Linked DNA regions of Struthio camelus. The protein of the gene in region 2 purifies or fractionates together with the protein of the main gene of each other region. This does not show direct contact. Links are inferred from orthologs where the notes say so. Each region holds a gene or a part of one and is shown on either strand. Other genes may lie near its edges.

The links.
Region 1: the proteins of PTPN14 (region 2) and WWC2 purify together in Homo sapiens (affinity purification with mass spectrometry, with the first as the bait; 3 studies listed by BioGRID). This does not show direct contact. The link is inferred for Struthio camelus from reciprocal best matches to the Homo sapiens genes PTPN14 and WWC2.
Region 3: the proteins of PTPN14 (region 2) and STXBP4 purify together in Homo sapiens (affinity purification with mass spectrometry; 3 studies listed by BioGRID and IntAct, counting the BioPlex papers as one, with this or other methods). This does not show direct contact. The link is inferred for Struthio camelus from reciprocal best matches to the Homo sapiens genes PTPN14 and STXBP4.
Region 4: the proteins of PTPN14 (region 2) and PDLIM7 purify together in Homo sapiens (affinity purification with mass spectrometry; 3 studies listed by BioGRID and IntAct, counting the BioPlex papers as one, with this or other methods). This does not show direct contact. The link is inferred for Struthio camelus from reciprocal best matches to the Homo sapiens genes PTPN14 and PDLIM7.

The regions. Positions count from the first base shown.
Region 1 is NC_090945.1:50,518,197-50,525,574, reverse strand, and holds the start of WWC2 (protein WWC2), read right to left. Parts: upstream 3,141-7,378; 5' UTR 2,568-3,140; coding exon 2,437-2,567; exon of another isoform or gene 2,416-2,436; intron 1-2,415. UniProt on the Homo sapiens protein: Regulator of the Hippo signaling pathway, also known as the Salvador-Warts-Hippo (SWH) pathway.
Region 2 is NC_090944.1:115,141,553-115,149,157, forward strand, and holds the start of PTPN14 (tyrosine-protein phosphatase non-receptor type 14), read right to left. Parts: upstream 3,119-7,605; 5' UTR 2,937-3,118; intron 2,420-2,936; exon of another isoform or gene 2,384-2,419; intron 899-2,383; exon of another isoform or gene 679-898; intron 1-678. UniProt on the Homo sapiens protein: Protein tyrosine phosphatase which may play a role in the regulation of lymphangiogenesis, cell-cell adhesion, cell-matrix adhesion, cell migration, cell growth and also regulates TGF-beta gene expression, thereby modulating epithelial-mesenchymal transition.
Region 3 is NC_090960.1:6,090,962-6,098,748, forward strand, and holds the start of STXBP4 (syntaxin-binding protein 4), read right to left. Parts: upstream 3,042-7,787; coding exon 2,974-3,041; intron 1-2,973. UniProt on the Homo sapiens protein: Plays a role in the translocation of transport vesicles from the cytoplasm to the plasma membrane. Inhibits the translocation of SLC2A4 from intracellular vesicles to the plasma membrane by STX4A binding and preventing the interaction between STX4A and VAMP2.
Region 4 is NC_090954.1:9,774,563-9,782,642, forward strand, and holds the start of PDLIM7 (PDZ and LIM domain protein 7), read right to left. Parts: upstream 3,054-8,080; 5' UTR 2,936-3,053; intron 1,323-2,935; exon of another isoform or gene 1,242-1,322; 5' UTR 1,240-1,241; coding exon 1,135-1,239; intron 1-1,134. Other genes in the region: DOK3 (docking protein 3), read right to left, coding at 3,305-4,051, 4,133-4,305, 4,397-4,490, 4,912-5,205, 6,796-6,852; probable ATP-dependent RNA helicase DDX41, read right to left, coding at 7,670-7,806, 8,075-8,080. UniProt on the Homo sapiens protein: May function as a scaffold on which the coordinated assembly of proteins can occur. May play a role as an adapter that, via its PDZ domain, localizes LIM-binding proteins to actin filaments of both skeletal muscle and nonmuscle tissues.

The DNA.
Region 1 (7,378 bases), on a different chromosome or scaffold from region 2:
TAGAGAGCCTTCTCTTTTGGTCCAGCAGCCTTCCAGACAAATCAACACAGTACCCTAAGTGCTTGGAAAAGTCTCTGTTGAACAGCACAAGACATTAAAAACCCCTTAAGAACGGAGCAGCACAAATAATTTCCACAGCACTCCTAAAACACACAAGCCAAGGCAAGTGTGAACTTCTCTAACATCAATGGGATTACTCTGATAAATGAAGTTGGCAAAATTGAGCCCTAAACTTGCAGCCGATGCTAGATTTTCTTCACAGCTGTACATAGGGAACTACCAAACCTACCCCATATAAGCAGTAACAAACACACATATTATCAGAATATTCTAGAAAAGCACATACGTTAAAAAGCAATTCACACACGTTTCTGGGAAGCTTTGAAATATGGCATTTTCAGCTGTCGGTGTATTTCTACACATGAACTTCTTAATCAATAACAAAGAGGTTCAAATTGTGCTCAAACACACCTGGGCACCCACAGGCATGAGGCTGACATCACATGGCACTAATCTCCACTAGATGACTTGTATATCTACTAAATCAAAGAGGATTAAAAAAAAATTTAAACTCAAAGTGTGAATTTTCTACATAATCGTTCTGAGACTGGTGTGTAAGAAGAAGGAAAATTGTCCATAAAAACATATGTATTCCACACTTGCTTTACCAAAGAAAGATTTCAGAAGCTTATGAACCATAATACTGCATGTGTATGTTACGAAAACTTTATGACTTCCATCAGAGAAAAAAGTTGAAAATAATGAAGTTAGAACATATTATCAACCTGGATAAGGTGTTCCCAAGTCTTTCTGTAGAATCTGTTATCTTCATTTTGACAGCTTAAGGTAAGTTTCAGAAACAGCATGAATCCAGATTTTATTGCACTGACTGACTTGGAAGATCACTCTTCAGTGATCAGAACATATATTCTCTACATACCTGGAAAACACAATGGGACCTAGAGCAAGGTCATCGCAGAACTTTCAAACAGTTTTATACACTTTCCCAAATCAGGCCATTGATATAAATACAGACTGCAAATACAACTACTGTAAACTGTACCCTAAACGGGCTTGTCAGTCTGCCTTCTGCGAAGGCAATTCTGCTCCACAGTTGAGCCATGTATAATAAATTAGGGCTTCTCTCAAGCAGGGAGTGCAAAATCTCTCCCGTTTGTTTTGTAGCATTAAGAAACCCTACTGACAAGGGTTAACAATTATTTCAAACACTACACTTTTCGAAAAAGGTCTTCAGTTCCTTAGTCCTCATTAAAGACAATCAAGTCTCAGGGCTTGCCTTCTCTTTCAAGTGTAATCAAGACATTAATGAAACAATATTTATCTTATCCTTCTAGGATGACAAACATACAATTGTTATTCACTTAGCTGTCTAGTCTACTAATGAGAGTAGACCCAAATTTTACTACAAAACAAAAAACACTCTTGAACATTTCAGTGTTACAGAACACAAAAAAGTATTCAAAATGAATGTGCTCATGAGGCTGTGTTATAATGGGTAGCTTGTAATTTTCACTTTTTGCTTTGCCTCAATTTTATACCTTCTGTAATCTGCTTTATACACAAATTAAGAGATGTCTAAAATTAGACAAGATTTTCAATATGCTACTTTAGAGGCAGCAAAAAAAATAGGACTTTTTATTGTCACAGGTAACATTTATACACACACTCAAGTACCTCTGTCCATTACCACCACTAATATTTACAAGTTGTTTAAATTCCTTTGTATTTTAAAATATGTTAAGTAATATGTTTACCAGTATTATCCGAACTGGCTGCTACAATAAGCGTGACAGAGAAGTAGGCCTGATACAGCGTATGCTGTTGGTCTAAGTTGCATAGGGAAAGTTTTGGAGTCAGCAAGCTTCATCACAACTACCTTTTCTCGTTTCTGCGGAGGAATACGAACCAAGGCCTTCATTCATAGCTCAGCATAGCTTGTTCTATAAGTTTATCACGTCTCTTAAAAGTTTTTGCTAACTCGGCCGTAGCGTTTTCCCACAACAGGATCTCAGAGCAGCACGAAGTTTTGCTGGCGAAGGCTGTAAACACCCGGGGCTGAGAGGGCTGGGACGTGCCGAGGCCTAGCCGGCACACGCGGCCTCCTGCCGCCTCGGCTGCGCCGCGCCGCCCCGCACCGTCCCGCCGGCAGCCGCGGAAGCGCCCGCGCCCCGCTCCGCTCCGCGCCCGCCAACCTCGGTACCTGCGGGGCGCTCGGGCCGCCGCCAGCGCCCCCGCGAGCTTTTGTCCCGGCCCCCACCCCGCCGCCGCCAGCCTCGCCCAAGGCCCCCGCGCCCGCGTTACCTCCGCGCCGAGGTAACGGCCGCCCGGCCGCGGCGCCGCCCCGCGCCCACCCCCCGGCCTGCCCGGCCCTGCCCGGCCCGGCTCGGCCCTGCCCCGCCGGCCCCGCGCACCCACCTGTCCCGGGGGTCGATCCAGCTCGTCTGCTTGGTGTTGTGGTCGATGTAGAAGACTTTGCCGTCGTAATCCCTCGCCTCCTCCCAGCCATCGGGTAAGGGGAGCTGCCCATTCCCCGCTTTCCTAGGCATGGTCGGGCGGCGGGGGTAGCTGCTCCATAGGGACAGAAAGAAAGACGGGAAGCGGGAAAGGCCCCCGCCCGGGCCGGGGAGGGGGGGGGGCGGCGAGGGGGTCGGCAGCCTAGGCCGAGCCGGGGGCGGGGGGGGAGGAGAGAAGGAGGGGGCGCAGCGAAGCCTCTCGCAGCAGCTCGGCAAAGCCCGCTCGGCGGCCGGGCTTCAGTCCACCATGTCGGGGCCGCCGGGTCAGGGCTGCCGGCGGAGCCCAGCTGCTGTCTGGGCGCGGGGAGCCCGGCTGAGCCCCGGGCGGCCGCGGCCGCCGCTCATTAGCATGAGATTAGCATCCATCTCATCTGCATGCACATTCCTCCCGCCGCATTCCTCAGGGTTAACCCTGCCGCCGCCGCCGGGCCCCGGGCAGGAGGGGGAGCGCGCCGGACCGGCGGCAGGGAGCTTCCCCCCCGCCCCGCTACCAAACCAGCCCGCTCTCCTCCGCCTTCCGAGCGGGAAGGGCCGGGAGCTGGCCTTGTCCCCCCCGCCCCCGGCAGCGGCTCGGACAGCAAAAAGAGGGGCAGTGACCACCTGAGGGGGGCGCGGCGGCCGCCGCTGGGGCGGACAACGGCCTCGTGGGCCGCGCCGCCAACGGCCGCTAACGGCCCGCGCCCGTTCGGCTGGGCTGGGCTGGGCTGGGCTGGGCTGCGGGGCGCTTAAGCAATCCGGTCATGTCGGCAAAGCTGTTGCGTGCGGCCCGGCCGAGGGGGCCGAGCACGCGGGCTCGTGTGCCGGTGCCGCGGCGGTAAAGACGCCGGGAGGGCGGCGGGTGCCTTTGTTCGGGGCCCGGCAGCCCCCGTCTCGCATCAGGTTGCGCCGGCGGCTTTAGCTGAGGCGTTTGCTGGCCCCGGAGGGCAGGAGCGCTGAGCGCGTTCGCAATACGAAACACTCGCCGCTACAGACCCTTCTGCCGTTATCCTAGTGCCTTGGGTCGGGGCGTTCCCGAAAGACTTTTCTTTCCCTTCCATTCAGATCTAGGAGAAGATACGACTTTTCACAAACCTTGCCTCGCATCCTTGCATAGTCGCTTCAGTGACTTGTAAACGTCAATAAGCTAGCTCAAGGGTAACATTCATAAAAAGGACCTTGACATTTACAATATCTAAGTTCAAAATTTAAAAGAAAAGGTAGCCTCTCTCCCTTAACCCTGGAAGCACTTAAACTTACTAGGTGGTTTTTTTTTTTTTTTTTTTGTTAAAGCAGAAACACCAGTGAGAAATACACATATACTCTTGTTTGTGCCCAGAACCACTCTGGCCCAAACAGCCAGCACCTAAGTTGCATTAAGTATAGAAACTGGGTGTGAATTACTGCACGTTCCTCTCACATGTGCCACAGGAGAAGAGCACTTGTGGCTGGTTACCATGGTTCAGCTGATATACGGTAACTTAATGAGCTCTATTAATTTGCATGTGTATCTGATTCCCAAGATCTGGCACCAGAAGTAGAGCACCCATGGTGGAATATGAGTCTAGTTTAGCAGCTAGGACTCTTAGGTAACCCAGGTTTTATTCCCTGTTTCCTAAAATGTCTTATTTCTTTTCATTTAACAGTTACTGGATTAAAATAATAACAAAATTACCCTGGGAGAAGAGGTCTGCGACTCAAAGCTGTCCCCTTTTTCCTTTTTTTTTTTTTTCCTTCAATCTGTTTAACTGTTCTGCTATAGCTATCTTTAGCATTCAGATTTTTGAATTGTTTTCCTGAGACAATTTACAGCTCTTAAGTACTGGACTTGTGCAGTGCACAACAGGGTTTTGGATTCTACTTCAGAGGCCAAATACCTGAAAGTTATTAAGCCCTGAAGTAACTGCAGATATTGAAGTCCCATTACTCCTGGATCTGCTCCTAAATAGAAAAAAAAATAACAACAAGAAATCACTTTAATTTAGCTAATTACCAATCTGGGAAAGTTAAGACCTTTCTTATTTTAGTCATTCCAATTATTTTATTCTGTTTTACTAATCTGCTTTTCTGTCTCTCCAAATGGCTTCTATGGCTCCCAAAAACACCTGTGTGTTGAGCTCCAAACTATCTTAAAGATTTTATTTTCACATCTATTGTTGTAAGGTAACCTGCAGTGAAACTATAGACGTGAAGTAAGACCCTGCTGGTTAACAGTGCAGAAAACCTGAGCCATCCTAACCGGAGTGGATCTCCGTAAGGATTCACCCACTTACAGAAAGCAACAGGATCAGGGCCTGTTAAAGCAACAAACTCTTTATTTTCACTGAGTATTAAGTTTCAGTGAGCTAATTTGTTTATAAAGTCCAGTCTTGTTATCCTTTGGTGTGAAGAAGCACTTTCGCCATTCACTTGTATTTGTGTCTTTTTCAGTAGTCTACTCTAATTTTATTATCTTGTTTTATAGGTGACATCCTCCAGTGACAAAGTGACAAAGCACATTTGCAAGTATGGGACAACATAAGCTGGATACGCTTTTCCCTTTTAAAGCTCAGTTTGCTTTATCCATAAGACTAAGATTTCAGGTTAGATAAGTTGAAAAAATTATAGAGGATGTTCTTGTCTTTGGAAACTAGCTGCCAGTTTCTTATCTTCAGCACTAACAAGTAGTTTTTATAATGATGTAGTCTTTCTTAATTCTAAAAAGCAGGCTTGTTCTGCAGCACCAGTATACTCCTACTTTAAACAATCCACACGACAGAAAGCATGTGCTAAGAAAAATCTACAGTACCAAGCCAAAACTGAAACCTCATTTACATCATTATTTCCCCTGAAGTTAATTATGACTCCTGAGGCAATACCTAATTTCTGTCCTATGACACACCGTAGCTGAGAGAGCCACATCTTGGTTTATTGGTCAGATAAGATCTACGTCCATCTGATTTATAACCATCTTTCTAGGTAAAACTTCTTGTCAGAAAATATCACAGTTTTCATTTGCACAAGGAGATAGGAATGTCAGTTTTTATTTTTTTGAAATAAATATACTAAGATCATTGCATCATTGCCTAATTTCTATGTGTACGCTTGTGTCTGTGTATAAACCAGTGCGCTTACACTTCAATATAAATTGTTCTATGGTATGTGTTAGGTTTTCTTCCCACCCTCCCTCCTCCCCTGCCACATACACTTTTTACTGTTGTTTGAATACCTCATTGTATTTGTGTTTACAGTTAAGAGTCTACAGTCCAGAATGCCCATTTAGGACTACTTAGGAATGCCAATATTTGAAGTCAGACTGACAAAGTAGGTAATATATGTGTAAATGAGATGTTGGACACTTAATATTACTAATGAGAACCTTTAGCTTCTAAAGGACAGTTATTATTCCAGATAACAATCTAATCATCACCTTTTTTTCTCTTTTGCAATTTGGACAAGTAGGAAATAATTTCTTCCACTATCCTTTACTATTCTTTGATATGTCTAATACAGGAAGGCAGAGCAGATGTTCATAATCATCCTTTTCGGCTTAAAATACACCATGAATGCTAGCTAAAAGTCGCTTTGCAAGTATACCTCCTACATCTCAACTAATAACCTGCCTAGCTGACATTGACAGCATACCACAGATTGTTTGGCTTAATTGCGTAAGACGGTATAGTTCAAAAGATGTATGCATGCTTATTTGAAATGCGGAAGGATGCATATGAAGGAGTTGTCTAAAATACGGAACGATCTAGCTATGGCTTGACTCAAGCCTTACCTAGGACTTACCAGTAAGTATGATAAATAACAATGATATTCTCAATAAAAGGGAGCCAATTGTTCTTCTGTTTTGCTCTATATATGCATGTTTAGCAGGTTTGAAGAAGTTCATGTTACAAATAGTATCTAGTTAAAGGACTGAATTAAATGGGAATTAGAATCATAAATGTTTAGTGTCCTTTCAACTTGCTGTTATGAGCTAGAAGGAGGAAAAAAGTGTCTGTGAAAATTCTGAACACAAGTATGGAAGTTGCTGAATTCAGAAAGGGGAGACTGCAAAGCCAAATGGTTGTGGCCCTGTCATATAACTGGAAGCGTGCTCTGCTCCAGCCTGTGTTAGTGTAGTTAATCTCCTGACGCTCCCTGCTTACCTCTTGTTTCACAGTAGATCTGTTCGTGGGACTGACTGCGGTTACAAAAAAAAAAAAAAAAGTTTGTATCTTTTCCTGCCATAACAAGAGGCTCCCTTAACTTGATGATCCAATGGAGTGATGTCCCTGAAGAAATTTACAGCAGTTACAACTGCTGTAACTTGTAATATCAACAAATGGCTCTGAATCAAGAGTCAAAGTGGTCTCCCTGAAAATCCACATAGTCCCTCTCCACTGCTTTCAAACAGAATTTAAGTGGAGTGGAGAACGAGTTATGAAATATCCCGATAGAAATGTATCTCTAAAAACGTCTGACAAAATGTTTGAAGATGTATATTGGTTATTTTGTTATTTTTTTAGACACCTCAAACACCATGTAGTTACTGTAGAACTCTAAAAAACTCAGTGTTTTCTACACTATAAATACTTGTTTATTCATTTTAAAAGAGTGAATTTTATCTAAGACAGCCATGTCTTCAAAATCAAACATTTGAACTCCTCTCTGCCAGATTTTTTGTTTTTAAAAAAGGTTGAAAAAATCCTGTAAAGAAAAACAGTGTACTTGGAGTAGGGAGGAAAGGAGGAGGAGTGCTACTTTCAGTAGTGTCAGCTTCTGATGCATGTATACATCCGAGAGTAAAGGATCTTTGAATAATATTGTTTCTGGCTGAAATTATGATGAAGCTTTGGAGAAGCAATGGGGCCAGAGAACAGCTTTGATAATGTTTATGC
Region 2 (7,605 bases):
AAATCTTTGCAGGACTAAGATCTATACATACACTAGTAAGGAGCAATGTCTGCCGAAAACTTCTTACAACTTGCATATTACCAGCAGTTTATAAAAAACCCTCAGCTAACTAAACCTTGCAACAAACAAGCACTTGCTTCCAACGCAGGAGTTGTACTTCAAGTGCACTTTTCACATCGCGTATGTTATATGAATGTTAACTTTAAACCCAAATTAAAACAATATACTTCACTTAAGTAGCGTGTAATCTAATGCAGCCTCACTGGATATGAGGAGAAATAGAACAAAGAGTGGTCTTCTACACCCCTTTGACTGTCGTGGCACCAGAAAAACATAGAAAAAGGAAATAGTATAGTTTTGAAAAGCACGAAGGAAACTCTTTTTAGATTGAGTACTTTCTCCAGGATTGTACTTGCCACTGGCAGCCTAGACAATTTGCAAAAGTACACACAAGCAGATTTGTTTCATAGAAAACTGCTCCATACCTAAACTATGATAACTGACGCCCAGGCATCTGCTGGACAAGAACGACCGGTAAAGAAGTACTTCATCAGTCATTAATAGTAACAACGTTGGCTGCTAGTGATCCTCATAAACAACACTGCACCAAAGCTAATTCTGCTACAATTACAAAAACATTTAAAAGACACATCTAAAATTGTAGTATAACGTACATACACAAGCTCAGTTTGCTCAGTCCCAGCAGATCCTGATTTGATCAACGCTGCATGCAGTCTTTACGCAGGCCTTGATCTGCACTACTAGATCCTCCGAGATCGCTTGGAGTCAATGGCACTTTAAAGCTTTTCCCACACAAATACCACAGCAGAACTGATGGCTGCAAGCTCTCCCACAGACTTAGCGGACTACCCTCCGGCTGATGGACCCAGCTTCAAACAAGAAGTTTGAAAAAATCCCCAACTTTTGTATCATGTCCCATTAGATACACACAAGTGCCCTCTGCCTGTAAGCACCTCTGGCACAGCCTCTCTGAAGAAACCAAGAGAAGTTCAAGAAAGCACTGCCAATAATAGATCAGGGCCTAAAGCTTATTTGCATAACTATAACATCAACGCATGCTTTATTTTACACCATGTAACAAGTACTAGATGTCAGCTACAGACCCCCCAGAGGGCAAGAGCAAAAGCTGTGTAATCTGTATTTTGTCACTCATATTTGATAGGACATTCGCAGCTAGATAACTAGACACTAGCCCCCACTGGGGTTGCCGCCCTTCACATTTCTCCCCCAAAAGAGCTGTCCTTACCAACTTCTCCCATAGTCCCGAGGTTGGCAGGTGGCTTTGACCTCTGATTTGGGGGAGCCATTTTATACATAGATTTTACAAACTCTAAATAATTTCAGCATATAACAGTGTTTTTAGTTTAAAAAAAAAAACTAACAGCAAATATCTACACAGACTTTAAAGAAAAAAAATGGTTTCTGGTAAAAATAGTTCTTTCAACTACTGTTTCAGGCCACATACTAAAAATCTCAGAAAACTTTTTGGACAACAATGTATTCAATCAGAGCCTTTACCAGTCACCGCTCGTTTCCACCTTGTCAGAAGTTACAGAGAGCTTCTAATGGAAACATAAGATTATTTCATGCAAATCACAGATAAAGTGCTCCCGACAGGAAAGCTCCAGCACACATCATACACATATGCCACACATACATTATGTAATACTTGTAGTACCAAATACACTCCCGGAAAGAGAGTCAGTTTGGGATGTTAAAAATTCATTGACTTTGCCCACATCAGAAACGAGAGCAGATGTCATTATTCCCGGCCTTGGTGCAGTTCCTTCGGTGTAACTCGGTGTTACAGTGTTTGCTGGAGACAAACGGCCAGGGCAGGCTTCACTGTAACTAACAAAGAACAAGGTAAATCCGAGGGGGGAGCGGAAAGCTAAACACAGTCACGCCGCAGTGTAAATAAGGGCAGCTCAGCCGACAGCCCAGGCTGCTCCTGCCTATTTACAAACACCTACTGGTTATGGAGATGCTCTGTTATCTAGGAGCCTATCTGGTTAAATTTATAAACTGGAAGGGCTGTTCAAACCGTGTTTATCACAAGCCATCGATTGGTAGGCATAACCCAAGCTTAGCTATTCTCATACTTTGCAAACAGTCATGTATACGTCGCCGAGCTATAATTGCACACTATAAGGCACAGCAAGCCTTAAGCAAATATCGCCTCTCCCTCCCTCCCTCCCTGTCTCGCACACATGCACACCCGCACACACACCGTAAAAGACATTACTGAGACGGCTCCGAAGTCAGCGCGAGCCCGCGGTCGCCGGCAGCAGCCGGGACACGTCCGACACGGGGACGGGCCGGGCAGACTCGAGCAAACTCCGCGGCGGCCGCCGCTCCTTACCTGCTGCGCGGCCGCCGGGCCGGGGGAGCGCGGCCGGCCCCGACCCCGGCCCCGGCTCCGCGCGGGCCCGCCGGAGGCGGCTCTCGGCCCGGGAGGCGGCCGCCGACGGCACCGAGGCGGAGGAGCGCGGCGGGCCGGTGCCGGTGCCGGTGCCGCTGGCGGGAGCCGCTGCCGCCGCCCGGCCCGGCCACGGCGGGGAGTTTCGGCGGGCGGGCGGCCGGCCGGGGGCTGGGGCCGCCGGCGGGGGGGGCCGGGCGCCCTGGGCTCCTGCTGCCGCCCGCGGGTGCGGGCAGGAGGGAGGGAGGGGACTGGTGTCCCGAGGGGCCGGCGGCGGCGGCGGGGCCGGGGCCGGGGCGGCGCGGGGAGTCACGGCCCAGGAATGCCAGGAATGTGGGGCGGCCGCTGCGGCCGCCGGCCCGGAGACGTCGGGGACCTGACTTGGGATTTCTTCTTCTTTCTTTCTTTTCTTTTTTTTTTTTTCACCCCCCCCCCCTTCTTTTACTAACTCCCCCCTCCGCCGCCCCGCTCGCGAAAGAGGAGGGATGAAACCCACCCAAAGGAGGAGGGAGAAAGAGGGAGGAAGAGGAGGGCACAGGCTCCTGCCAATCCGGGCGGGTGCCTGGTGCAACTCTCACAAGGAGGGCAGAGCTGCCAAGTTTGGGGCAGATCCGGAGAGTCTTCCCGTCCCGTCCCGTCCCCTTCCCTTCCCGCTGGTGGGAAGCCGCCCGCCAGCCCTCCCCTTCCCCGCCCCCGGGGCGCCCGTCGGCCCGGCCCGGCCCGGCCTCGGGCGGGTCCGTGGGGGGCCAGGCGAGGCGGGGAGGGAGGCGCGGGAGTAGCCCGAGGCAGGGGGAACCCCCCAGAAATGCGGGGGGTGTAGAGGAGAGAGGGGCTCGCGGCTCCTGCTGCCCCCCCCCCAGCTGGCCCCTGCTGGCCGGGTGCCAACCCACCTCCCCACTACCTCCCTCTTGCCCCCCCAGAATTCATCTCTCTCGGGCCTGCATCAGAACAATCTTTTCTGCTCCTGCCATCCCTTTCTTCAGCCCCCTTTTCTGCTGCTTTTGGCATTTCAGCTGCTTTGGCCTCTCGCTCGTGGCGTCATCCTCGTTCCTTAAAAGGTGGACATCCCTCCTCGTCCAGCTGCGTGGTGGGCTGCTGTGGGAGGCGTGCAGGACCAACACCCGGATGCTGCAGTTGTAGCATTGCAGGTGCCTTGCTGGAGAACAAGCAGGAGAAAACCTGAAGTTGCTTTGAAAGGTGGTGGTTGGCAACTATACGAAATTTCCAGGACATATGGTGCTTGGCAGATACGGAAAGGCCCTTCTGAGGACTGAGAGAAAGAGAAGGGGCATGGGGCACGCGGTGCTGCGGGAAATAGGGAGAACCATCAGGAAGGCCGGGACTACCTAGAGAAGATAAATGGATCAGATGAGACCAGTGGGCATGCGAGTCTTAGAAATGATTTGTACTTATTCTTCAGTGTTGCAGCTGATAGCTGATTTGTGAAACTATTTTTGCCCTAGACTAAGTTTATTTAAAACTATGCACATTCTAAAAAGCATGTGCAAGTGCTTCTGATGCCAGTGGGCACCTGCAGAAAAGTCAAGGGGAGGTATCCCTCTAAAACTATGAGACCAGAACTTAAAGAATATTACAAACAGGGGAAAATCAAGAAAAATAGTGATAATTGAGACGTGATACTAGTTTTTGAGTGTACGCTTGTACACCTTATTGAAGGACTATGTGAGCAGATGCATTGGAGTCCGTGAGGATTACTCAGATTAATAATGGTAAGAAGATCAGGTGCTGAGAGAGGGAAAAGTAGCGCAGATTCCTGATTTTGATAGATAAGTAATTGTATTTAAATACTGTATGTGGAATCACAGGCCTATGCCTTACCTCTGGCATAATATTATTATAATTACATTTTGCAAGGAAAGTCCTTTTCATCCGAGACTCAAACATTTTACAAACACCACACCTTAATGAAGTAAGTAATTATCCCCATTTTACATATGGCTACACTGAGGCATTAAGAAGTGACAGCATTTAAGATTTTAACTTGAATTATACTTGCCCACGTATAGATCAGAGCTTTTAATCACAATATGAAAGTGACATAAAGGGGTCAGAATGAGATGATAAAACAGAGCACACAGCTCCTGTGCCCTGAGTTTATACAGTCCAACTTTGTCCCCTCCCCCCACCCCCCCCAAAAAAACAATTTCCGTATAGCGAGTGCAAAGATACACGAGAGGGTAAGATGCATTTTAAACTAAGGTTTAAGTTTTTAGGTTTCTGTCAAATTCTGTCGACGCTGGGGGAGGTGTAAGGATTTGCTTTTTAGCACAGTGAAGATTGACTTTCACATAAATGCTTCAATGTGGTGTGTTGGTAACCTAAGTCTTTCAGCTGAATCCCTGGTTTGCAGCTGGCACTTTTACTTTCCTAGGGGTCTCTGCGTTTGAGGAAAACTTCTTCAATGACCTTAACTGCAGATGAAAAAATGTTGCAAGAAGAAGCATAAACATGCTGACAGATAAAGTTTTTAGAGGGGAGAATCTATATATTTGTTACCCGCAGCACTGTCCCTAGAAGAAATAAAAACCGATTACTTGTCAGCAAGAGCTTTTGCAAAAAAGTAAGCTTAACAAAATCTGCAAAATGAAATATATTTCAAACCAATCCAAACAAGGAACGCTTGTGAAGTTAGGAACAGTGAAGACAATTACTTATTCATGAGATTCCTTAGTGCAACGAATAATATCCGTATTAGACTCTTAGAAATTGTAGTAGTAGATGCTTTAGAAGTACAGAGCTTCACAGAGATCATAGCCAGTTACTGCAGTGTCTTCCATGAAGAAATTGGCTGTGTTGGTGGTACTTCCGCTTTCTGAGACTGTTGAAACCTTGAACCTTTACATATATCTTTGTTCCCCAGAGAGCTGCTAGGATTATAGCACCCTGAGATTAAAGCCAAGAGTTTCTACCTGGTTCTTGAGGTGTGATTTTAGAACATACTAAAGTTGGATTAGAGGTTCCTATGGCTATTTCAAAAATGTGGTGTTAAAATGATCCAAAGTATTGGTCTGATTCCAAACCTCTGTGCCCCTTCAAATTTGTCAGGAAAACTTCAATGTTCTTTCAGTAATATATTGGTTGGATTTATGCATTATCTTTCTGTTCCACTAGGGAGTCATAGTATAGCTTTTTTTTTTTGCTGAAAAGTGGCAATTCTAAATACTATTTAGAGACTTTAATGAGTTGCTATAATGATTTGTGGAATTTAACTCTAAAATATTCCCTCTGCTCTGGTATGAATGAATTTTTATATTAGTTGCTTCTGCAACTCCATCAGGATTATTACATTAAGATGCTCAATGGAACAGTAGCATAGATCAGAATTAAATGATTGACATAGGACTGTACCTCAGTTGCCTTAGCTACTGGTCTTTGGTATATCTTGGGCAAGTAGCAGCGCATCTCTGTGCCTTAGTTTTCTTCTCTGAAAACTGAGATAATGATAGTGATCTTAATAAGATACTTTTTGATTTAAAGATGAAAGCATTGCATAGGAGCTAGATGTTATTTGAAGATTTTTTCCCAAATCATGGATTAGACAAGCCTGAATATTGTCTTAAAAACTTTATGAAAATAAAAGCCCAACACCATTCAGGTTGATCAAATGATTAACATTAGTAGAGGAGTACTGACTTTATCTGGGTGAAAATATAGCAGATTTTTAATGTGTTGTCTGAAGACATGCAGTAAATTTTGAAGTATCTTGGGACCTTGCTAGTAAGACCTGTATTAAGCATATTTTGAGTATGTTTAAACCTAGGCTACTGCAGTTCTAGAGTCTTGTTATAGCATGGAAAAATCTCGGTCCTTGTTGGTTGGTAAAACCATGTCATAACCTGTTTTGAATAAAACTGTCTTTAAACGGTGCTTAAGCAACAACTGGTGGTTTCTTCTGTGAACAGTAGATGATGTTTAATTAGCCTTACAGTCATCTACATTACAATCAAATCAAAGAATGTAGTTGCAACACATCCCCAATTTGTATTGTAAATGTGACCCTAACTGTGTTCCTAAAATCTCTGTCATGTGCTACAGCTGGGTACACTGACCTCATTGTAATGTAAGCAAAAACTTACTCCGCAGTAGCAGAAATTCCCACTTCTAAAATCATATTTGTTCTTTATAAATCGGTACTTCTAATGGTTGAAGCTTACCACAAGTGAGAAAAAGTTTACTTCTGTAGTATTTTGCGTTCTCATTAATTATTTTATTTAAAAGTGCTTTTCAGAATCATCTCTTAGAAAAGGAATTTGGATTACACAATCTTGGAAAACAAACCTGTTGCCACCAAGCATGAGCTAACATGTTATAGTACTCTACAGCTTATCGTAAGTAAGCCAGCACCCAGTTTTGTAGACCAGAAAAAGTCTTGGGTGATTATCTGTGCAAATACACTATGCTACATTGAATATTCTAGTTTGCTTAAAAGTTATATTCTGCCTGAGGACTTACTGAGTAGATGAGCACTTACTGAGTATCTTCTTCAGTAAGAGTTATAAAATCATAAACTTTTTATTATTTGCAAGTGTAATGGTGAACTTTTGATTCCACAGTTGTAAGTGCTCAAAGTGTACTTTCAATAGCGATATTCCTCTCTATGTAACTGTTACTGCTATCCAAGCTAAAATAGTCAGAATTTTAGGACAAAATGGAATCATATTTTGTCATTTTCTTAGATTAACAATTAGGGTATTTTTAAACGTATCATTTAGCACAGTTATTAGGTTTATTACCCTAATCCTAGATTAGCTAAATTAACTTCTGTTAAAAGCTAGTAAATTTATTGTTCAAGAGATCACTGTTTTGAGAAATCTGAAGACCTAGGTTCATAATTTGCTGTCCTGTGATATAGATACATTATGTATGCGTGTATACCATCTGCCTGAATGACAGGGTAGCAAGTCTACTGCAGAAACAAATAAAAGCAACTTGAGTTTCAGAAATTCTCAAGCTATAGCTTTAAGGATCCAATTCATCAAAGGAACTTCTTACAAGCTTAGCTTTTAGCCTGTGCCTCAATTCTTCTTGAGCCAATGTGACTTAACAGCATGCCTGTGAGTCAACATACACTACTGATTTGTAGACATTTTTGCTGCTCCTCAGTTCTGATGATCATCAGCTTTATTTATGTGTGTCAGCATGGA
Region 3 (7,787 bases), on a different chromosome or scaffold from region 2:
ATATATCCTCTGTCTTTCCACAGTTCAGCTTTTGCACTAGACCCGTTGTACAAAAAACCAGAAACACTGCTAAAATTTTTCTGCTGCGACCTACGTCTTGTTCTGTATTAGCTGGTGACCTGCATTTTCTAGAGTATGAGGAAGTGAAATGGTACAATCAGATTTCATTAACGGGGGGAAAAAAAAAGAGAAGATCAAAGTGGAGGACACAGTGACCTAAATCCTTTCACACAACCAAATCCAGCACACAGCTTGAACTCCAAGCCTGCAACTGGTTATTTCTATAAAAGCTGCAGTAATGTCCTTATCAGGACAAAGGAAAGAGAAATCCAGAAGGTCCAAATGTTCCTAAATTCCAGCACCAGGCAAGAGATGCAATGCCTACAGAACTTTCCACATTCCTCCTTTTTTGTATAACAAAATCAGATGAAAACTTTATCAAGGGATCCTTGCATTTGCTCTGGGGGGAAAAACAAACAAACAAACAAACAAACAACCCACCCACCTATTTGTTCCACAACCTCAAATTCCAGGGATTTGCAAAATTCAGCTTTTATTTTAGGAAAGCCAGCCAAAAGAATGGACCTAATAATCCATCTTTAAAAACAAAAAGGAAGCCCCTGCTTCAAATGTTGTAGACTTTTCACTGCAGTATTTCTCTCAGTATTTGTTCTATAGGCTAAAAAAGAAATGATGAAACCTAATTTGAACCATATTTTGACACTGCTAAGATTGCAAATGACCTTGCTACTGCATGACACAGCATAAGACTCCCCTTGTAAGGTGCAAAGTGAACCAAAGTGATTTACTTAATCACACTCTAAAAGAAATAAAACAAAAAACAATGTTTTCTAACATAAAACTTTTGATAAATTACTTGTACACTACAGCAGCATACTATTTTGCATTACTACCTAGTACTGTCACCTAAATTATTCCATGATTCTAAATTGTTTTGAAGACGACAAACAATATACTAATCACCATTACAGGTCTGTCCTTGTTCTGTAACCACCTTTGAAAACTGAGAAGATAAAGAGCATTGATCTTTAAAACAAGCAGATAATTATTCTTTCTACTTTTTCCCACCTTGCCTTTTGCTACTATTGTTCTGTTTTATGTTCTGCCATGCTCTCAGCAGCTTTCATGTGGCAGACATTTCTTTATGCATTGCAAGTGTCAGTATCACAAACAACTGTTACTTACTTTTTGATATGTCAACCTTTCAATAACAGTAGGGTTCTCAACTTAACTGGATTTTCCTCAAGTAACTATTATGACTATACTAGTCCATCAAGAACATCTTTACTTTCTCCTGATCTTTTGATGCTAATATTAGTGAAGGCTGAAGGGTAGTACTACTGAACAGCAGTTATCTGAACAGAAAAATCTTAGTTTATCAACATCAGAATTAAAAAGAAATATTGAATATTAATATTAATAGGATTACCTTAACTTTTTAAAATTAGTGAATAAAAGAAAAGCAAGAACAAACTTTGTATTTCAGCTTTGCAAGGAAGTTTACTTTCATGAAATTTTAAAAGATCAAATCTCAGATTTTAAGTCTCCAGTATTTCAAATAAATACAGAGTTCATAAGAAACAGTAGAACCTATTTATCTCTTACCATGTAAAATGATGATAAAATACAATCAAACATGGGTACAGAACACTTACAGTAAGAAAGAATCTATGTTTCTAGAAGCAAACAGTCAATACCGTCACAAGAGAGACCCTAACTTACTTAAAATCCATACTGACAAAGTCATACAGAGCATACACAAAGACAGGATGAACTAATAATGTATAATGGAGAAGAAAAAGGTATCTTCAAAACAGGGAAATCATCATGATGTTGCCATCTACAATTAACATTAGATAGGACTGACACTTTGAACAGACTCTGTTACAAGGTATACAATAGTGTTTATGCTCTAAAGACTAAGTCCCCCTAATGTATGAGGCTTAAAATTATTTCCTAACATAAAAACTAAAGACAAGTACTTTCAAATGCCTAAACTAATTTAGGATATTACATCTTGCTGACTTTCAGTGTTCTCTCAAATGACATAGAGACAGATCCTCAAGACATGTTACCTGTCATCGTTGTACTAAAATAAACAGTGCTTTAACAGTTACACAAGGACTTTCACTACACAAGGACTTGGATTTAGCTCCCATTCAGCATATAATTCACGATTATTGAATAATCATAACATGAATTGTTAGATACTTCCCCCAAACATTAGAAACATACTCAACAATATATAGAAGGAAACGGGCATCTAAACTAATTGGCAGTGATAGCAAAAATAATTTTAGTGTTCTTTGTAGAAAAAGATGTAAACAATCAATTCATTCATTCCTACAGAAGTCATACAAAAATACTTGTCAACTAACTTTTAGCACACAGAAAAAAAAAGGAGTGAGAAAAGAGATAAAAAGAAACAAGATTACACAAAATGTGTGCTATAGCTTTATTACACTGAAATTATTCAAACAAATATTAAACTTAACACTTCAGCTGAAGCCCTGGAATGTTAATAGACCAAGTATTCATATTTTTACGTAGAGGCTCTAGTAAAGCCAGTTAAAATGAAATCTTTGGTACTTACATGTTTAAAAAAAAAAGTAATAGAAAAAAGTAAGTTCAGCAGCTTTCTATTATACACCTTCTAGAGACTTATCAGAACATGAGGCTCCGGATACTCTATTGATCTATATCCCTCAAAAATTACCAGGCACTAGTCCACAAATGAAATACTTAGCTGCCTTTATCAGTGGAAGAAAAACAGCCTTCCATCGCAAAATCCATATGATTTGACACTTCTACAACAGTATAAATGATAAACCCTGGTTGCTTACAAAAATAAAACATAATCTGTAAATGGCTACAGCTTTTAAAATATCTTTACTGTACTTTCCCAAATTACAGACCAAGGAAATCTCATCAGAACCTAATGGCTCAGCATACCAGTATAAGAGAGAGAGACCATCAAAACGCTCTGGTTCATCTTCATCTCCTGGTGAGAGTAAGGACATTCTTCAGTACAGCAGAAAAGACAATGACAAAGTATCCAAAATGATCCAAAACTGGAGGTTTTCAATTCAGCAGCACAAATGATACACACAGAACAATTTCTTTCTTTTTTTTTTTTTTTTTAGTTAGTAGCAGAAAATCAAACAGCCTGAGACGAGTGTCTCTGCCTCCTTAATCTCCTCTGAAACCCTCTGCGTCACAGGGACTAATTCACCTATCAAGGCAATGCTTACTTTTTCTCTTTTTTAAATGGCAATTTGTAGCAACTTTTAAGACTGACGATAAACTCAAAAGAAATAAACTTCACTTGCATTGATGACAAGTGTGGTTATGCAAGCTATATCTAGCAGCAGTCAAATGAAACAAAATAATTATTGATTGTTCCCTCCAAACAGGGTCAAAAGCAATACCTCATGATCTTTCTAAAGCAATCTTCCCAATAAATTGGATTATATACATCCACACACAAAAGGGAAAGCCAACAAAGCCGACAGACTGAAAGCAATAATGAAACAAATGCCATTGTGCTAATACTCTGCATTCTCAAACATGTTACTGACTTACATGATGTTTTAATACGGTTGTACTGTTTTAATATACAACAGTCAAAACTTAACATAGAACTTGGTATATTATCTGTAGAAATAGAAGTTGACATACATTTGTTTTTGTAAAGGCAAACAATAAAAATGGTGCAAGAAATATGATCCCATTTTTATAGTATATCTTGATGTGTTTTATAGTACAAGTAGGTGAAAAGTAGATAAAGGTGGACTTTAGGAAAATAAAAAAAAAAAGGAAGGACTTTATAAGTCATATTTTAGATTTTGCTCAATGGGATCTGTCATTGCTTTGTTCCTTTCTAATCTAACCTAGTAAGGCTTCTTTTAAAAAAAAAAAAATTAATTTTTAATTTGCTGATTTAGAATATCCACTCTCAGCATTCAGCAACCTAAACTGTTCTCCTAAATTATCCTCCACGTGTCAATGCCTGCTTCCAGAGATACTTTGTCAAAGCTACCAAAAAAACAAGGTAGCTTTGCAGGGCCTGCTTATTTCAGGCAATCCAATGGGGTATCAGCAAAATACCTAGAGGAAAGAATTTCTTCTGTTATGTTGACTATAATTTAGTTGAAAAAGGAAACATACACAACTACTCCCACAGAGGTAAGACTCTCTGCTGACCTGAGGCTTGATCTCTGGAGAGATACACACCTATTATTTTAGAAGTTCTGAGCTTCCGATGTCAGTTTGAGTAACTATTTTCTTCCACAGTTGTTTACAAGATTTTTTTCACCAATCTGCAGAATAAGCACACGCACTCCTATTACCCTTCCTCTCTCTAAATGATCTTTAAAAGATTTCTGTTTGAAACGCCAACTGCGTGTGCTGTATTCGCTATGGGCTTTGTTTAAACAGAAAGATGAAACCTCTCCAAAGCAGAAAGCAACCTCGTGATGAGACGGCATCAGTTAGTGCCTGGAGCTGCACAGCAGGAAATCTTGGTTGTGCTATCAATGCACATGCTCATCTCAACTTTTTTTTTAAAGTTGCAGTGTTTATGGTTTGATTAATACATAATTGTTTTGGAGAAAGGATTTTTGATCTTTTTGATTACAAGCAATGTGCTACATATTGTCCACATATACTGAGGTCAGTCCCAAGAGCAAGAAAAGCCTGCAAGCTAAATGCAGAGACAGACAGAAAGGTAAAGCGACCTCCTACAGATTATGGAGCAGATCAATGACGGAAGTGGAAACATAAACCAGCCTTGCACTTCCCACAATGTGAAAAGCTCCACTGGAGTCACGTGGATTGCTCACATACATTTAGCGAGGGAAAATTTGGCCCTATATATTCTTATCTAAATCAATTAAACTCTGCTAGTGTTACTAATATTTGAGCTCAAGAAAAGAAAAGCCATTGATATTTTAAGCACGGTATCAATGAGATATGCTCTAAGCAAGTTATGTAAGATGGTGAATAAGATCCCAATACTCTTTCTATAAAAAAAATTTTTCACTGTTCTTAATATCAGTAGAGTTCAATTTGTGGTATCAGTGGCAGGAAGTTTTGTCAAAAATCACTTTGACCAATATGGCTTTCCTCGTTTCTAGTTTCACATTCTACACAACAGAAACACACATATAGAAAATCAGTGAAAAAATGTGACTCATAGCTATGTATTTCAATTATTAAAAAGGTAACATGCTTTTTAAAAATAAACCAGGCATGACAAAGAATTGCTGACAATGAAAGTAGACACAAAGTAGTGTAAATTTTTCATTACTCCCACCTCCTCTCATTAGAGTTCTTTTATCATCAGTACATCACTCCTTCAAAAAACTGCTCCTCCAAAGTAACACTATGCATTGTTCAGCTTCCTGAACTCACCCTCTAAGTTTCTATCCCCCTTTATCATAAAATTCTACTGCTACTTTTAGTGTTTCTAATGGAGTCATATAGAAAATTGATATTATTGCTTTTCTTGACTCTTCTCTGCCTTTAAAAAGCATGCTTTGTGAACATCAATTACAAAGATCGAACAATACAGCTAACAATACACTTTAAAATGCATAAAATGTAATATCAGTAAGCAAAATCAAATTTTCAAGAGACATTTTCTGCTATCTTGTGAGGCAAGCAGACTAAGATTTTTTCAGAGCTAGTAAGTTATTGTCTTCTAGCAGCATTATGACGACTCATTTTTCCCCAAAGACATTTTATAATGGTTTAGCAAACAAGATAGAAAGATTTGCCCAATCTGTAGTCTGCTGAATTATCCTATAAACCTTGGTAGCAAGACTCACAAGATCTTTTCATTATAAATAATAAAGGCTTTTGTAAAAATCCTATAGAAGTTTGTTATGTAACTGAAGCCTTCCAGGTTCACAGACCTTAAAGGGTGAATATTCATTAAGACGTTAAGGATGATAGTTAAATGTACACTTTATTATATAGTATCAACAAACACTTCCTTCCACTCTATCCAAACCCACTAATTATTCAAAATGCATTTTGCTGACTAGGTTATTATAAAGATTAAAAGAAAACATATGCCATTATATGGCAAAATGTTAAACATGCAAGAAAAAAGGCATGAGCCACATTGTAATTGTGGAGAAATACGAATGGTTTGGGGCTACTCCCTCGTATGGAGAAAAATACGTTATTTAAAGTTTAGGTAAAGCTCAATTAACATCTAAGTACATTCTTGAAGTGTTGTACGTTGATACCTTGTCTCTCAGAAGAAAAATAATACATATTAAATACATAAAATGGTAGTCTTGCATCATCATGAAGCTGACGTGTGAAGCTATGTGCATGCTATTCAGGTTAATCTTTTATTTGAAAAATTGGTTTTTGGAGTGATCTAGTAACTATGCAATATATCTTCTAAGTGAACCAAGCAAAATATAACTGTTTTGAAGACATATATCTTTGTATTACATATTCTGTATTTCCCTCTGACAAGCATAGCGTTTGCCTCTTCAGATCCCAGTGAAAAGGAAATTAGCTTTTTAAAAAATGTTTTGCTTTTTTAAAAATCAACTTATCTTTGAAATGGCATAACTCAGAATTGGTGCTAAATGGCTTGGCAGTATGTTTGATTTGTTGAGGTTTGTTGGACCTACTGCATAAGCACAGCAAACATGAAACAGTCCAGCATAAGCTGTCTATGTCTGTTTTAAGTTATGATTTTTCCTGACAAGGTTGGCATGGTTATTTAGCAGTACGGGGAGAGTCTGCAGTTAAGATTTTCAGTTGCGACTGAATTTGAGTTTGACATTTAGCATCTAAGCTAACTTTTTCCTAAATCAAAGTGGATAACATTATAGTTTATAAAATTAATAACATAATCATTGTATTTCCCATGAGAGTGACAAAAAATTAGATGGTTCCAAAGCACTGGATATAAAACATTACAGACACGCAGACATATCATTTTGAAAAAATAATGCATTATAATACATAAATCCTTACTGCATGTTAGATTACTGTAGTTACCATCCATATACATATAGGGAGATAATTTGTCATAGACCTTACAAATGCATTTACATAGTTTCAGAAGCATTAAGGAATTTTTATGAGGGGTTTTATCTGTGGAGAACCACTTTTAACCTAGTGCTGATTACCTTAATGAAAAGTTTAAGAGCTATTTCTTTCCTTTATGTGTAAATTTGATGGTGTTGATATGAGCTTTTGTGAGAAGCTGCTTCAGCCTGTTTCAGTATCAAAATGTTTCTCCTTAAGAAATCATCAAAACAAGATCCTACGAATGAAAGTACTATAATTTTCATATGACAATCCAATAATTGTTACAGTCCTGTCAGGGGGGAGAGGAAAGTACTTACTTTTTACTTGGATTTCTTAGGGGCTCTGTACAGGACATCTTCTTAGTTGCACTATTTTAATAAAAGCTCAGAATGGAGAATTCGGAAACACGAAGCACTGGCTCATAACCAAGATAATAATTGCTGTAAAAAAGGAGTTTTTGAAACTTAAATGGCTATGTTTATTTTCAGACATTGACAACAACTCTTATTTAATATTGACTAGCTGAAGATAAATGGGAAAAGAACTTTTGTGCAAAACCAGATGCACTTCATTGCTGAAAAGTAAAACAGTAAGTTGCTACCAACTCAGACTTAGCTGTGCATTGTACCAACATATCTGACAACCTGATTTCCTCTGTAAGTTATGAGGCTGTAAATAGGAGTAAACCCAAACCCTCTGTTATTTAA
Region 4 (8,080 bases), on a different chromosome or scaffold from region 2:
CTGCCCCAGGCCCTCGGAGGCTCCTCCATCTGATCAGACCCTTTGTTAGGCGCTGGCTCGCAGCCAAGAGAAACATTTTTTAGAGAATAAACTCGCTGAAGCCGTCTCAGCGCGGAGCCCTCAGCTCGGCAAAGATCGGCAGGCCTCGGGGGGACGGCACCGGTGGCTCCAGCCTCGCACGGTGCCCCCAGGGTTTGCGCTCCTTGCCGGGGCGCTGCAGGGACCCGCGCCCACCGGGACAGCCGCGGAGAGCCTGGCTCGTGCTACGGAGCAGGCCCCCAGGCAGCGCTCGGCGCCCGCGAGCAAAGCCTTCGCTCGAGACGCGGCCTCCCGTGCCAGCTGCCGGAGCGTCAGCAGCGCGGACGACAGACGCATTCCAAGGCTTATAAGGCAATTGCGCGGCCAGAGCCACCCGCTAGCGCCCGTGCAAGGGGACAGGGACCACACCTGGTCCAGGCGAGCGTCGCACCAGGGGCGGCTCGCGCGAAGAGCCTCGGCTGCGAGCAGCCAGCAGCACAAAGCCTCTCACACGCACACGTTCGGCGCTGGGGAAACGGGCCGGGGGCCACCGTCCCAGCGCCGGCAGCAGCGTGGGCTTCCTCCCCTCTCTGCCCGTTCCAGGGCCAGAGGGAGCTCGGACGCGGGCTGGAGCTGGAAGCCGAGCAGCAGGAGGGAGGACAGAAGGGCTGAGCCCGCTGCACGAGCCCAGACCCCAGGAGGCCAGGCCCAGCGTCACAGTCCGGACCAGGAGGCCAGCCCCACGGCGCGGAGGCTAGAAGAGCGGCTCCCCTCCCCCAGCTGCCGGACAGGCTCCGGAAGAGGCCTCCCCTACCTCCCCCAGCAGCCAGAATGACTCTGCAGAGGCTTTGCAGTACTTCAAATTTCTGCTGCTCTTCTTGCCCGGAACACCCCCGGCACGCACGTCCCCTGCCAGACGAGGGCCGATAAGGCAACGGGGTGGTGCAGTAGAGGCTAAGCGGAGCGAGACCACAGCAGGACCCAGCACTCCAAGGGTCCCACCTCATCCACGTCCCCATACAGCTGCCGCCTCAGTCACCTGGTCCCAGCAGCCACAGTTTCCTACCCGCAGAGGTAGGAACAGGATGGGCGTTACCGAGGCTCAGCTTCTCTTACCCTGGAGATGGAGAGCGGCATGCTGAAATCCTTCCCTCCCTGCAGTCTGAACCCCCAGGGCGCGGGGCCATCCAGGATCACCTTGTAGGACTCCACATCGCCCATCTCTGCAAAGGAAGAGGGTGCGATCCCGGTGTTACGCTGCACGGGAACAACGCAGGGAGAGCAGCCGAGCGGGGCCCCAGCACCTGGCAGGATGGGGCAGGAGGAGACAGGTCACGCTTCCAGGACCGGCTCCACCCCGACTATCCCACACTGCAGTTAGAGACGCACCCCAAATCCATCAGCATCTCCTAGGGCTGAGGAGCCCAGGCTAATGCTGACTAGCACAAAAGAGCCAGACACAGCTGACTGCCACGCTCAGTGCACTCACGGGCTCTGCTCTCCCTGCCCCAAACCTGGGGCACGCTCTCCCTTGCAGTACGCACAACAGCGCCCTGGAAGCTCACGCTACTGAGAGCCAAAACTGTTTCAGACCACGGAGAAGCAACAGCGGGTGTGGAAGGATGGAGACCAGAGGCGTTTTCGCTGGGTGAATTAGCAGCGGCACAGTAGCTGCGCGATGCCAACCAAGCGGACTGGCAGCGCAGCCAGGCTCGTGCTGCAGCAGCTGGCCAAACAGATGCTACCTGGGAGGCGAGCCCATCTCTGCGCGCAGAGCCGGGGCTTCAGCGAGGAGGGAATCCCTGCCTCTCCCTGCGCGCCAGCCGGGACGGCGCTGACAGCTGTCAGCCGGCCAAGGCACGGGGGGCACACGGGCCGGCCCCAGCCTCCCAGCCGCATCTCAGCCAAGAGGAGCCCTCCCAGATCTTGAGGGGCCCCTTCGAGACCCTGCCTCCTGCCCCCGCAAGGAAGGGACAAACCCAGCGCCCCGAGGGCCGGGGACCTCGGGCTCCTAGCCGGGAGGCAGTGGAGGCGCAAGGGCCGGGGGCCGGCGAGCCCCCGCTCTCCCCAAGCCCGGGCGGGCTATATAAGGCTTGTAAGATGACACCAGCGTGCTCCCCGCTCGGGAAGGCTGGGTGAAGGCTGCGTGTCAGACATTCCCCAGCACCGAGCAGCCGCACAAACCGGGGCAAGGCGCGGTGTCCTTCGGGGCCGGGACCGTGGCGGTCTGCCCCAAGGCGGCCGGCAGCGCCCCACACGCCCAGGTCAGGGCTGGGGGGGCCCCAGCAGCCAGGGGTCTCCGGCAGCCCTGGGGCAGGGTGCTGGTGGGGGGCAGAGAAGTGATCTGGAGGGATGGGGTGGGCCCACACAGCCCCTCCGCGAGGGGTTACGGCCACGTCCCATGGGGCTGGCGCAAGGCACCTGGGTGGCCCTGGGGCACCCACTCCTGATGGGCAGCCAGGCTGGGCCCCCAGCCCTGCCCCACACAGGCCCCCCCCACTCCCTACCCCTGCCCCCCTACCCTGCCCTATACGGGCCCCCCTGCTCTCTACCCCTGCCCCACACGACCCCCCCCCCCCGTTCCCCAGCCCTGCCCCACACGGGCCCCTTGTCCAGACGGGGCCAGCCAGCCTCCCTGACCCCGACCCGGGGCCCCCCTCCCCGCCCCACACAGCCCCCTGCGCAGGCCGGACTGGCCCCCTTTCCCACAGCTCGGGCCCCCCCTCCAAACCCGCGGCACCCCGTCGGGGCGGGCCCCGAGCCCCAGCGCTGCCCCACACGGGCCCTGCCGGAGCACTCTGCCTGCCTTCCTCGCACACAGGCCCCTACCCGGCCCCATGCGGGCCCCCAGCCGGATGAGCCGCCCCCGCGCCCAGGCCCGGGCCCCCTGGCAGCCCCGGTCCCGCCCCGCGCTCACCTGCGGCCGGGCCGCGCCGGGCCGCCCCGGCGGAGCGGAGCGGGGCCGAACGGACCGAGCGGAGCGGAGCGGAGCGGAGCGGAGCGGAGCAGCCGGACGCGGGACTCGAACTCGGGGCACCGCCCCCGCCCGGCCCGGCCCGCCTTTAAGTACGGCCGGGGGTGGGGTGGGCGGTGCCGGCGGCCGGCTCGGCCAATCAGCTCGCCGACCGCCCGCCGCGCCGGGGCGCGCACGACGGCGCCCCCTGACGGCGAGATGCGGGCGCCGCAGGCGCAGCGCGGGCGCCCCCTCCCACCCGCGAGCAAGGACGGAGCCGGCTCGAGCGCAGCCTCTTTATTCACCGTATCGCCAAGGCCCGGCCGGCCCGGCTCACAGCCAGTCCCGCTGCCCGGCGGCAGGAGCCTCCCTGCTCAGCAGCCGGACGAGCTTGGCCTTGAGGTTGCCCTGCGGCTTGGGCCCGGGGCGCCCCGGGGGCTCCTCGTGGGCACAGCGCCCCGCCGGACCCCAGCGCTGCTCCGGGGGGCCGGGGGGCTGCGGGCCGCCCCACGCCGCCGCCACCGCCTCCCGGTTGTCGTAGATGGGGCCTGCCTCGCCGCTGTGGCCCTCGGGGGCCTGCCGGCACCCCAGCTCCCACTGCCCTTCCTCGTGCTCCTCCTCCTCCTCCTCTGTGCGCCCCAGCTGCGCCGCAAAGATGTTCTCATAGAGGTGCTCGGCGGCCGGCTTCCCCGCGGCCCAGGGCTCGCTGGGGCCAGGCTGCCCCAGCCCGAAGAGGGGCTGCTGGCCCCGGGCGATGGAGGCGTAGATGATGGGGCCGGTGCCATCGGGCTCCGAGGTTGGGAAGCGGAGGAGGCCCAGGGCAGGCTGGGAACTGGGCTGGGAGCTGGGCTGCACCCTCCCTGCGGCTGGCCCAGGCTGCGGTTCCTCAGAGGCGGGTCCCCGGGGCTGGGGCTCGGTGCCCGGGATGGGGATCCGGGTCTCCGGGGCATCCTTGTCCTGCTGCTGGCAGGCGATGGCGGTGGCCACGGCCCGGCAGAGCTCCGGGGCCCGCGGGGTGCTGAAGGTGAAGGTGCCCTCGCCAGAGTCGCTGCGGCGGCCGGCCTCGAAGGAGAAGACTGTCTGCGAGGTCGGAGGGCAGGGTGAGGGGCTGGCGCCCACCTCACCTGCCCTAGGGAAGTCAGGGAGCGGGGCACCACCTACCTGGTCCTGGCCAAACTTGCGGAGGAAGGAGTAGGGCCAGGTGAGCAGGGGCTGGCGGGACTGCGGGTCCTTCAGCGTCAGGCTCTGGGGGAGAGCTGCGAGCAGGTAGTGCCCGTGCAGGCCGCAGCGGGCGGCTGCGTCCGTCCTGAGCACCAGCACCAGGAACTCTGTCACTGCGGGAGCAGAACGGCACCGGGATCAGCCCTGCCACGCTGAGCTGCTGCCCGCCCCAGCCCCCTCCGCCACCCAGCCCATGGCACGTACGGTCCTGCCACGAGGAGTAGAGGGAGTTCTCCTCCATGTGGACGTCGGAGCCGGGCTGGGTCCTGGCGCTGCTCTGTGGCACCTCCTTTGCACCCTGAAACAGAGGGATGTGAGAGCGGCCCCCGCCCCGGGCACCCTCGTCCTGCAGCTCGGCCCTGGGGCTGCTCCGAACATGCCGCGGTGGCACAAGGCGCGGGCAGAGATGGGGCAGCGCGAGGGCCTGCAAGCAGGGCTGTAGCACCTCTCCCTGCTGCACACGTGCAGTGGAAACTCTCCCAGTAGGGGCCTGCCTTCAAAACCACCCCCGACTAGTCCCCCCAAGGGGACTCATCCCTTCTCCTGCTGCATCCTGGCCCCATGCCCCAGCAACACCCTCCACCCCAAGGTGATGGCCAGGGACCAAGGGAGGGAGCCCCCCTGGCTCACCCAAACCAGGAGCAGGGTGAGGGGGGTCCCAGCTGTGCAGCCTGCCCACCCCACTGCTCGTGGCCCCGCTCACCCCAAAGACGCGGTACCTGGAAAGCCAGCTGGCAGAGCTGAGAGATCCACTCGTCCCGCTGCTCGGCCGCCAGCACATAGCTCTTCTCCGTGGTGTTGAGGTAGAAGGCAGCGGTGGCTTTGGGGCAGCTGTCAGTGCTGACGGGCCCCACGGAGACGCAGTCCGAGAGGCGGATCACCCGGCGGGCGCACCTCCGCAGGGAGGACTTCTCCAGCACCGTGCCGTCATCCCGCACATCAAACTTCTCCATCCGGGCCACGCCGGACGGGCTGGCAGCAAAGAGCTGCGCTCGCATCTTCCTCCAGAACCTCTGGGGTGCAGGAAGGGCACAGACAAGGGGAACAAAAGGTCAGCAAACAACTGCCTGCTGCATCTTCACCGGCACTGCCCTCCTTATCGCGTCAGCCAGCACAGTAAGGGCTCCAGCCCATGCTTGGCAGGACAGGGCACGCCGGGCACACGCAATGCCCTTCCCGCACCCCTGGCGGGGCTGGGCACACTGCGCGTGCTGGGGGAGGACACAGCAAGCAGGGCCTTCTCAGGTCCCCCAGCACCCGCAGGCCAGGCCAGCCCCAAAGCCAGGGCTGCCAGCCGCCAGGTCAGCGAGGTGGCCAGCCTGGCCCTCCAGCGAGGTCGGCTCCGCTCGCCTGGTGAGTCACGCTCGCCCTCGGCTGGGAAGGGAACCCAGGCATCCTGCCCTCTGCTCCCTGCTGCAAGTGCTAGCCTGCTGCTGCTGCAGCTGAGCCTCTTGAGCTGTTTTCAGGACAGACCATGATGCAAATTAAAGCCATTTTGAGCTGCTTGGGCTCCTGCAGGCAGCTCACACCTACCAAGTACAGTTAGTCCCTGCAGCTAGCAACCCGCTTCCTCCCAGGGGACGCTCTGTGGTACCAGCACCTTCCCAGCCTGTCATGGGATAGAGAGGGCGCTTCCCCCCCACACACCTCAAGAGCACAACATGGCCTCCACCCCAGTGAACCTACGCGCAGCCGAGCACCCAAAATACCCGCCACCGTAAGCCCACCTGCGTCCTACATGGCAGGGCATCGGCCTCTGCTCACATAGGGGTCTGCCCACTTCAGCTCTAGGACTCAGCTCTCGCAGGCAGGGAGACTAGAGCAGCTCCGTGAGAGTATCGAAGGCACAGCCGTGGCCCAGCACGTCCACTGAGCACACGGAGGGTTGACTGCACCCCACGGGCTCTAGGAAGGGGCAGAGCCACCCCGCTGAAGCAGCGGGGATGCTGCTGGGCACGGTCAGCGAAGTGGTGGGACCTGCCTTGTAAGCACCATCTCACAGCTCCTACCAGGACTCCAGTAACATAACCCATAACGTGCCCAGAGGGTTTTGGCACTCAGTGCCCATCCCCAAGGGCTCAGCACACCGAGCAGCTGGGCAGCGAGTCCAGCCCTGCGGCTGGCTTTTCCCACAGCACTGCCCCCCACGGTCAGGCTCTTCGAAGGCTTGGCGCACAGCAACTTCCTATGTGTGGTCCCACCACCCCCAGGAGCTGCAAGGGGCTCCCACCCCTGCTGCCCCACTTGCACACAAGCACCGGAGCTATGCGTCATTAACACACGTTTATTGTTTCATCGCGAATCGCGTGGCGATCAGGCAAGGGGACAGACCCTGTACATGGGGGTCAGTGTGAGCAGAGGCCTGCTCGGGGGAGTCCCCTCAGCTGTGGGGAGAGCCACCTTGCCCCACTCCGTTACAGCTACAGAGGCCAGGGCCCTCTCTGCCCTACCCAAGGGGTCTGGCTCTGTCGTTCCCCTGCCGAAGCTGTGGAGGACCCAGTATTCCCCATCCGGTCAGGGCCTCCCCCAGGGTCTAGCATCAAGGCAGAACAGGGCAAGACAGAGCTCTACAACCCACCCCAAACCCACCCTCCACCTTTTACCTTTCCAAATTTGCTGTGTTGCACATAGAGGATCCCATCCTTCACAGGTCTCTCCATGGGCACAGCACTGCCCTGGCAGCCAGTGCAAGGATCTGGGACTCAGACCATCAGCAGCAGAGAAGTGTGACTGCTGCAGCTGAAGCAACTAAATGGGGCAGACTTCCTTTTCTCAGCGACTTCCCCTTTTTGCTGTGTGGGATGAGGGGCAGGCTGGGCCACAGGAGGTGTCCATCCTCCCTCCCCCTCACAGGAGGGCAGTGGGGCAGAACACATGCAGCAAGAGCAAAGGAAGCTCCTAGGGGCCTGCCTGACATGAGCACAGCATGCTCTGCCCTGCCCTGGCTGCATCAGGGCACAGTTGCGGGTAACAGAAACTGCCCTGGTCAGAGCACAGCAGAAAGGAGGCAGCCACCAGCTGAGAGTGCACAACACGAGCTGCGGGGGAACAGTCCCAGAGGAATCCAGGGGCTTTGGAGGAGAGCAATGCCAGACCCCAGCCATGCCACCACGGGGAAGCTGAGTAGGGGCTGCAGACAGCTGGCCACAGAGCAGCCACCCCACAGGCACCACTACCCGCTTGCCCAATGCTTCACATCAACATGCCGCTGATGTAATGGGCTGTTGCAGCACAGCTCCTCACATTTCCTCCTAGAGCAGGAGCTTCAGCAGGCTGAGCGGGCAACAGTCCCCAGTGCCCAAATGCTTTGAAAAGGAGCCACAGCGGTGCAGGACAGGCCTGCAGTCCGGGCTGGTCTGGGCTTTGGGAAATGAGGGCAGCTGCAGGGGGGACAGCGCTGTTTGCCCAAAGAGAGTCAAAGCTCGGCCCTCTCTCCCAGCCTCGGTGGAGGCAGCACTGGGCAGCAGCATCCCCAGGCTAGAAGTCCATGGAGCTGTGAGCCAGGTAGTCTTTGCGGCCGATGTTGCTGACTTGCTTCGTCTGCATCGCCTCCAGCTTGGGGCAGTCAGTGATGCGATGGCCCAGGCCACCGCAGAAGGCACAGCCCCGTTCATCTGCAATGGGAGGAGCAAGGTCAGGCAGAGCCACACCACACCAGGCAGGAGGGTGGCCCCCACCCCAGGAGCAGAGGGCTAGGCCTGCAACTCCCACCCTGTCACCAGCACTGGGCCATCCACGCAGCCAGGCAACAACCACCCCGTGGCAGGCAACCCAGGGGGCAGCAAGGACCCTGGAGCGATGGGAGCTGGGCCTTCCTATTTTCAGCCCAGGTCACTCCAACAACCCTGCCGGAGCTCCCTGTCCCAGCCTGGGGCCTCTCACCTCCGA